2 linked regions of the Daphnia pulex genome follow. The protein of the gene in region 1 purifies or fractionates together with the protein of each later gene. This does not show direct contact. Links are inferred from orthologs where the notes say so. Each region holds a gene or a part of one and is shown on either strand. Other genes may lie near its edges.

Region 1 (4,512 bases):
ACACACATGCCATTTGTAGGTATCATCGTCTTTGCTGTCTTAAAGAGACTGTATTACCCGTACTAGAACCGCTGCTGCTGGATGACCCATGGATTCCTGGTCCGACGGGATTTACTGCGCCTAGCAGAGAAGGTGGTTGACTTCTGTCTCCACCCATCAGTCCACTGCGTACGTCGGATCCACTGCTCCCTGTTTGTTATTACAACGTCAACATATTTGAAGTTCGACTTTCACAATACAGTTTGTAAGGATTCAATTAATCGAATTTGGAGGGTTACCTGAACCACTGTGAACGCTGCCTTCTCTTCCATACGTAAATGTAGTACTTTGTACAGGCGCCGATCCGAGGGGATCACTGCTGTAGCTGTAAGGCATGGGCGCATAACCGGTTGGATAATAAGGTATGTGAGGGGTAGCCCCACCGGCTCCTGTAGCACCAGGCCCACTACCCCAAGGAGTCGGCAACGGCAACGGTGCGAGCGTGTCTCTATCGGCTTCCGATGTCGTGTCATCAGTCAGGCGAAGAGCCGAAACACCTACAAGATAAAACCCTTTCATCAAACAAAATATTCTATAACCCGATAAGTCTCAAATGTCAACTCACCCAAACACAGGTCTCCGAACACGTAGTAACATTGTTCAGAGAATGTGTACTTGTTTACTGTATGTCTGATGTAACCGTTTCGCAGAAGCTGGGAAGCCAACTTGCGGGCATCACGCCGCTCTTCTAGTCCTTGCACGCGATTGTGAAGCCAGTCGACCACTTCTGATCCAATAAACGCACTTGGAATTACAATTTTTAACCAAAGGCGATCTCTAACTTCAAGTCCGGAATCTGGGCGCGCCATCGCTCGCACAATTGCGAGCATGTCTGAGCGCACTGAAAGCGGTTGGGCTTCTTCAACTGGACCTGTGACAAGTAGTACTTAGTCAAAAGTTCTTTCGGTACATTTTCTACGTGACAACTTACGTTCGGTTTCTGGCATACTCGACATCATTGTTGTGGTGGTTGACGACATCGTCGCCACAGATGGCGGACGATTCGGGTACTGCGTTCCACCTAATATGACGTTAGATTTGTTGTTGGATGCCAATTTATGATTTAAAATACGACAATCACCTCTTGCTGCTTCCGTGTGAGCAACCCACGCACCGGGATCAATAGGGCGAACAGGTTCCGTACGGGGTATAGTGAAATATCCTTTTGGATTAGGATCCCAACACTTGGCGACTACAAGTTTGATTGGGCTGACACATGCAAATAAAAAACACAATGTACTAAATGTTAAGTTGGAAAACAAAAAAAACAGTTATGCTTACCCAGGTTTCTGGACAACTTCTCGTAAAACGCGAACGGCATCGTCATTTGACATATTTTCAAAGTTAATATCATTGACTTGAAGGATCATGTCACCAGGCTCGATTCGACCATCCAAAGCGACAGCCCCACTAAATAATAGCAATGATTTTCATTTGAAATTACCACAAGAAATATGTCAGGTTCATCTGTGTTTATACCCTTTCATTATGGATCCTACGTAAATTCCACCATCACCACCTTGATGACTCTGGCCGACGATGGAAATTCCTAAAAAGTTGACTGTGTCCATGTTGAGGGTGACAGTGATTATGTTGAGTGACATAGTGGAATCCGTGATACTGGAGAATGATGAAGCTCGAGATGAAAGAGGAGGGAGGCGGGGACGGCGACGATTACGTCTCCGATTGCGACCTTGGCGAGACACACTAGTGTGATCTGCAAATTTCAAAATATGCAAAATTTTCAATAAATCCAGAGTTATTATAACTTTGCTTAATACCCGTGGTCGTTGTGATACGTGAAGATGCATCTTCTTCAGAGTCAACGAAGCTGGTCGACTCTAAATCCGAGCTGATCATAGAAGAGGATTCATATTCGTGTCCAGCTCTGTGTCTCATAGCGTTGTGGCCATTTCGAGGAGCTTGAACTAAAGAGACAATCGGATGTTAATCGAATATATAGTAAGATAAGACATTCTACATGAAAATTTAGTGAAGCAACAATCTACAAAAAAAGCCATGCTAACAAACTCACCATCAAAGCGATCATATTTTTCATAAGTTTCACGATGCACACGGCCAGAGCGGGGCAATATGTGCCTCTCTTCATGGCAAAACATAAAGAACAAAAGAATTGCAGAAGATAACGAAAAATGAGATGCAACAGGACAAAGGTAAACACATAAACATAAAAATACAGCATAAGGAAATAAAGTTTACCACTGTGTCTTGAACTAATGACCGATTCTGTCTCAGTAGCTGTTGTGTATTCCTCAGCCATACTTCTGTTATGGCCAGGGCTAAAATCAAATGACGAGTTAATTACCAAACTTTACAAGCAGTGAAAATTTGTAAAGAAAAAACTCACTGGAAAGACGGTGGTCTCCCATCAGTAGTGGCAGTACTCTCAGCACATTGAGATACAGAGTCTGAAATGCTACTTTCAGCTGATACTAGCTACAAAGTGAAAGAAACATTAAGACATCTTAAAATATTCATCAATATAATTTAACTTGTTACGTTTACCCATGATATGACTCTTCCATTGAAACATGGAAGGTGAGCATCGTCATCAACAATTTCTTCCTTGACAACACTAGAAACATAAACAATAAAGAGAAAACAATGCTTACACTTGCATAAAAAAATAACTACATGGACAATTATCATGTAACACGTTATTGCCACTTGACAACAACAAAAAAAAAACGAGAAAAACTGGTTTTACCCGAAATCGTCGTCCATTGATTTGAAGAAAAATTTGTAATTTGGACGATTGAGAACATTCTTGAAATCGGCTAGGGTAACTTGATCGGGAGATATTGTAAGTTTAACAAGATAGGGAGTTTCTTCTTCGTCAATGTGGTAAATAATCTTTGTTTCCGCCATTAGGAAACTGCGTCAAGAGTCAACGACAACAAACCAATCGTTTTGACAAGATTACAAAAACGGGTAGGGCGTCAAAAGTTACTATCTGCGCAACATGAAGAGGACTGAATAGTGAATACAGACTTTTCCCCTTTCCCTCAGGCTGTTCAATATGGCGAGGCTTAAAGTCTTGTGAGCCTCCAATTGGGCGTCCCGGTTTTCCCAAAAAATATTAACGTCAGCCGACAGATGGTTTTTCCGACCCGCTATCCACAGCGTAGCCATCTACTGCTCACACTGCACACTACTTGCTTCAAATTCAAATCTGGCAAAAAGGGGGGATCTTCAAAAAGGGCTGTTGTTCGTGATTTTTGTTTCATTTAAAAAAATAAAATAGCATATAACGTTGAATAACTCGCTAACGGCCGTGATATATTAATAATACAATAATCATTAATCATGGTGAATTGGTGATCTTACTATCGTATCCATAGTAATATAATATAATATATATTAATATTTATTCATAAAATAATAATTAATATGTATTCTAGCTTTGGTTATCATGTAAGCTGTAAAGATTCCTTAAATTTTCGATTGCTTTTAGGTTGTGGTATCATGGCAAAAGGGCAGCAAGCTAGTAGCCAGTAGTGATGTTTCGTTAGTGCTTTTTCTAAACGTTAGCGTTATCCGTTAAGTTAACGATGTCTCATTTTTTCACGTTCGTTAACGCCGTTAATTAACGCCGTTAAAAATGTCTCCGTTAACGAAAATTCGACGTTATTTTTACCGTTATTTAATAAAAAAATTGCACTATCAAATCACTGAAATCAGTCACGGTCTTGATTACTTATATTTAAATTGCTGCTGGCGTTGAACAATGTCACAATGAAGCAATGATCAACTAAAAAAAACAGAAACTGCGGATTAAATAAACGCACAGACAAAAGAAAAAAAAACAAGTTCCAACTAAAAAAGTAAAGGCCTCAATAAATCCTTATTGCAAGTGAGGAAGACTTTTGCGGCCAAAACTTCTTCCGCCGTCCTATTTTTGTGTCCTAGACAGTGCCATCCGGCAATGGAAAATTCGCGTTCAGATGATGCCGAAGAAACTGGTATAACCAGTAAATTATAGGCCATTTTGGATAATTAGGGGAAACGACCAGACAAATCCTTCCAGTAAGAGATCACATCTTGAACTGGTGGATCCTTAGAAGGATCAAATTCATGACTTGCAAAGTGGAAGTTGTCTAAAAGTTCAGTTTCAATGCAGTCGAGGGAAGTGGCTAGAAGGTAGGAGCAGTCGAAATCAGGATCTCTTTAATCTGTCATGAAATTAAATCTTCTTTCGAGATCTTCTAACATCGCAGATGCCACGCTTATTCACCGTCAACAGGAGCATCAGAGTCTGAATCTGACATTAAAGATTTACACTCTGATTCTAGTTGTTTCCCTACTCTACTTATACAGTTTCGTTTGCCACGTTTTGAAAGCAAAAAAAAACCTCAGAGAAGCTAAGAAGACTACTGCTCACTGTCATTGGCTATTTAAATTCGTTTTCATAGTCAACCTACTACAGTAAAATGTTGGAAGCGCGCAAAAAAT
Region 2 (3,841 bases), on another chromosome or scaffold:
GTAGAAGCTTCGTCTGGTATAAGAGCCGTATCGGGAAAATGAGACTCTCGGTCTCAAGAGAGAACATCACCATGAGATTAGAGTAGTGGAGTATAGTAAGTAGCCTACATTGTCAAGTTCAAAGACCTTTGCTTTCTCAACAAGCGAATCTTCTGCTCGCATTTCATTTTATTGAAATGGAGCAGCTCTGTTTTCCTCGGTTTTCCTTGGATGTATAATAAGAATTCAAAATTGGCAATTTACATAATACATCGGTGCATACGTCGACGTATTGCTGCGACAGAAAAAGATGGGGTTACAAATGCTGGTTTTGACGCCCTCATTGAAAAAGTGCGGCGGAAGCGGAACTAGCTATCCAATGCGAGGATATGGAATGGAGCTAACAACTGGCATTATTCTAGCGTGGGCCTATTCAGTGAGTAAATTAATCACGACTTACCAACAAGACGATCCTGGTCCAAATGTTCGTGAAGTTGAATCCTGACAGCAACGCCTTCTACATACATCCTTTGCACACTTTGTTCGGATAATATAGCATCAGTGCCTTCGGTTTACAATCAAATGCCTTTATAAAAATACTTTTCACAGAATTTACAGGCACAGCAGGACGCACAATTAAAAGTTCTCACTAACAAATACGCGCCGTAAAGATAAACACTTCCGCACTTGATCACGAGACAAAAGTTACTGCCATTCTGGTGGGCGTTGCAAATTTAGTAATGTAATAGATAGAGGTAGGGTCAGTAAACGAAAAAGAAAAGGAAGAGATCGAAAAAGAACCTTTTTTACCTTTCCAAACCCACCCAACGCTCTAACTTTTTAAAAAAGGAATTAATGAGTCTAATACTATATTTATAAATGATAATAAAACAGATGGTGTTAAGTCAAAAATTGTATTACTGTAGCCAATCTTGCTCATTTAATATACTGTATGTATTGACAATATACATATTTATATATAAATAATTATTAAACATTTGCATAAAATAAGAAATCCTATTATTGCACGAGAACCAACTGTTGGTGTGTTATTTGGAGAAATCGACCACATTCAAACAAACAACTGTGGCAACTCGTGGTCGTAAATTCTGTAAGCAACACCCAAAGGTATTAACGACATCGATGAACCGAATATATCGCCAGGATTTGTCGTTCCGCTTTTCTGATTTTGGGTGCTCGCCATTTTCTATTTTTCCAGTCAAGAAAAACACACTCAGATTCTTCTTCTTCTTCTTTTAGAGTTAATCTCTATCGGTATTATATGATAAGGCAAACAAACTTGTGATGCATATATCCTTTTCTTTCAAACAGAACTGATTGACCTTCTTTCACTGAGTATATGTAATTTAATGAAGTGAGTTGTGTGCGTGTATATGTGTCAAATTAAGATATGATGCAATTCTTGTCCTTTTCCTTGTCGCCTCCGCCGGAGGCCGCTCTCGACGACAGTCCCGTCGCCGAAGTTTGAAGCGTTTGAGAGCGCTGGCGGGCTGAAGCCAGTGCCATGGCGTCGTTGGGCACGTAACTGATCCGGACGCCACCGTAGGCGGCTCGGCGCGCTGCCGGTAGACGGTAAGATGAGTAGTCCTCCTCCTCGTCGCTGCTCGAGCTCGAGCAGGTGGAGCAGACGCTCACCATGTCCATGTCATTAATGGGGCGATGTCTGTTGACCGGTCGGCCACTGCTGGGACCAGCTTCAGCTCGGGTTCCAAATCCGGTAGCGCTGCCGCTATTCATCGCCTCTTCAAGAGCTAAATCAAAATTTGTTGTTAATGTTTTCAGTCTTTTAGGATGATCAAAAGCAATAAAAAATGATTTTACAGCTGCGTCCGGAGTAAGAGTGAGAGCGCGGAACATTGGGATTTTGCTGTTGAACTTGTTGCTGTTTCCTGCGACTGCCGCTCTTGTAAGAAAATGATGAAGAGCAGGAAGACGGGTGATGATGGTGATGATCGTGGGTTTTTCGGCAGCCACCGCTACTGCTGCTGCTGCTGGTGTCTCCTTCGGGGCTCCTGCCACCACCTGATGCTCCTTCGATCATCGGTACCTGGGGACACGAAAAAAGAAAGAGAGAAACGCGTTAGCGGCCTTCCACACGATCACAAAATAATGATTATAACTAGTCTCACTTGATTTGGATCGAATCTGACGCTGAGCTGTCGGGAATCCGCCCCGCCATTTTTACTCCGCCCAGTCATTAGATTTGATTTTCGAGGCGTGCAACCGTCGCCTACTGGCGAACTGGCATCGGCCGGAGTATCCTCTTCTTCGTCATCGTTGGACCCGGTCTGGTTGCCGTCCGGCTCCGTTTGAGTCGAAAAATCCGGAAGAGAAGACGAATGGGCGTCCGGACTGCGACGCAATCCTGTCAGTTGTTGCTGCTGCTGCGGCTGGATCAAGTTGGCCGCTGCGGCGGCTTCCAGCAACTTGTCGAGCACCTGCTTGGTCAGCAAAGGCGCCATTCCGCCGGCGGCCACTTTGCTCAGAAGCTGTTCCAAATTCAAAACGGCCGGATCGGTTGTTGTTGATGTCGCCGACTCGGGCGTAGATTGAGCATTTGAGGTTGGCGGTGCCACGGCCACGTTTTCCGTCTGCACCTCCTACGGAGAAGAAGAAGAAACAGGAAAAAAAAGAACCAAAGTCATTAGCGAGGGACGTCATGCGTTGCTGATAAATTGATCGTTACCTGGCGGGGCATTTCGGTCGATTTCGGCTCCACCTGTTGTTGCTCGGGGCTGCCAGGGAGGCCCGAATACATCAGCGGCTCGGATCGATAGCGCGGCGAATCGTCGAGCGAAAGAGTTTCCAAGGGCGGATGATTCTCGTAGAGCGGAGGGGCTGGTTGCTGTTGCGGTGGTGGCGCTTGGTAGGGGCGCAGGCTCTTTCGGCCCATTCGCGGAGATCTGTAAACGTGAGTGGGCGAGTTGCCAGCCGAGGCGAACTGCTGCAAGTTGATCGGCGGGTTGCTGCTGCTGCTGCTGCTGGTGGTAGCCGACGGCGGTGGCAGCTCGGGCGAGGCGACGTGCTGGCGGTAGTCGACGACCCCACGATGAGCGATGCCGACGCTGGACATGGGCGATGACAGGGGACTGGCGGTGGTGTTCAGGCTGGATCCGCCGAGGCTCGATAAATCCGTCATGGGCTGCCTCTTTGAGCGTCGGACTTGGTTGGGCGACGGAGAGTTCAAATCTGATCCGGCACTGACGGCGCTGGTCACGCTCCGAGGCGGAGCCGGAGGCAAACCCAAGTTGAGGCTGGCAGAAGATGCGGGCGAAAGTGCTTGCTGGAGCTGCTGCTGCTGCTGACTGCTGGAATAGTCTGAGACTTCAGTCGTCTCCGAGTTGGCGTCATCTTGATTACCTGTGAACGTTTTACAACAATAAAACGGTTAGAAGAAAAAGAAAAAGAAAAAAAAAAACAGTTTCGCCACGGTCCTCACTGGAAATCAAATATTGAAATCGGCCGGCATGCCAGCGACGCCAGAAGGGCATTTAAAAAAGAGCAAAAAAAAGTCTCTGAACGTGATTTCACGAAATATTGATTCGCTCGGCGATAAGTCGAGATTATGCAAAATTTATATGGCCCGGCGAGAGATTATGATGAGCATAAAAAGTGTCGAGCTAGGTAGAAGAAATACCATTTCGGCCACGCCATCTCTGCTGCTGGTGCTGCTGGGTCTTGCCAGACCTGATTCGTCTCGGACTGCGGGAGGCGGACGATGAAGGCGAGCCGATGGACGGAAGCAGGGACGGACTCGGTCCGCTGATGCCGGACTGATGGTGGTGGTGATGCATCAAGCTGTTGTTGGTGCTGCTGCTGTTGCTGTGGGTGGGCGTGTTGG

Evidence for each region.
Region 2: the proteins of segment polarity protein dishevelled homolog DVL-3-like (region 1) and protein prickle-like purify together in Drosophila melanogaster (affinity purification with western blotting, with the first as the bait; 3 studies listed by BioGRID). This does not show direct contact. The link is inferred for Daphnia pulex from reciprocal best matches to the Drosophila melanogaster genes dsh and pk.

The regions. Positions count from the first base shown.
Region 1 is NC_060018.1:12,878,128-12,882,639, forward strand, and holds the start of segment polarity protein dishevelled homolog DVL-3-like, read right to left. Parts: upstream 3,147-4,512; 5' UTR 2,929-3,146; coding exon 2,768-2,928; intron 2,636-2,767; coding exon 2,566-2,635; intron 2,497-2,565; coding exon 2,408-2,496; intron 2,340-2,407; coding exon 2,260-2,339; intron 2,144-2,259; coding exon 2,075-2,143; intron 1,968-2,074; coding exon 1,821-1,967; intron 1,757-1,820; coding exon 1,519-1,756; intron 1,450-1,518; coding exon 1,321-1,449; intron 1,249-1,320; coding exon 1,121-1,248; coding exon of another isoform or gene 1,061-1,120; coding exon 971-1,060; intron 911-970; coding exon 605-910; intron 537-604; coding exon 279-536; intron 190-278; coding exon 58-189; coding exon of another isoform or gene 23-57; exon of another isoform or gene 7-22; intron 1-6.
Region 2 is NC_060020.1:6,111,801-6,115,641, forward strand, and holds the end of protein prickle-like, read right to left. Parts: coding exon 3,638-3,841; intron 3,361-3,637; coding exon 2,687-3,360; intron 2,601-2,686; coding exon 2,130-2,600; intron 2,048-2,129; coding exon 1,822-2,047; intron 1,752-1,821; coding exon 1,384-1,751; 3' UTR 880-1,383; downstream 1-879. UniProt on the Drosophila melanogaster protein: Acts in a planar cell polarity (PCP) complex; polarization along the apical/basal axis of epithelial cells. Correct expression of the alternative isoforms is required for PCP signaling in imaginal disks.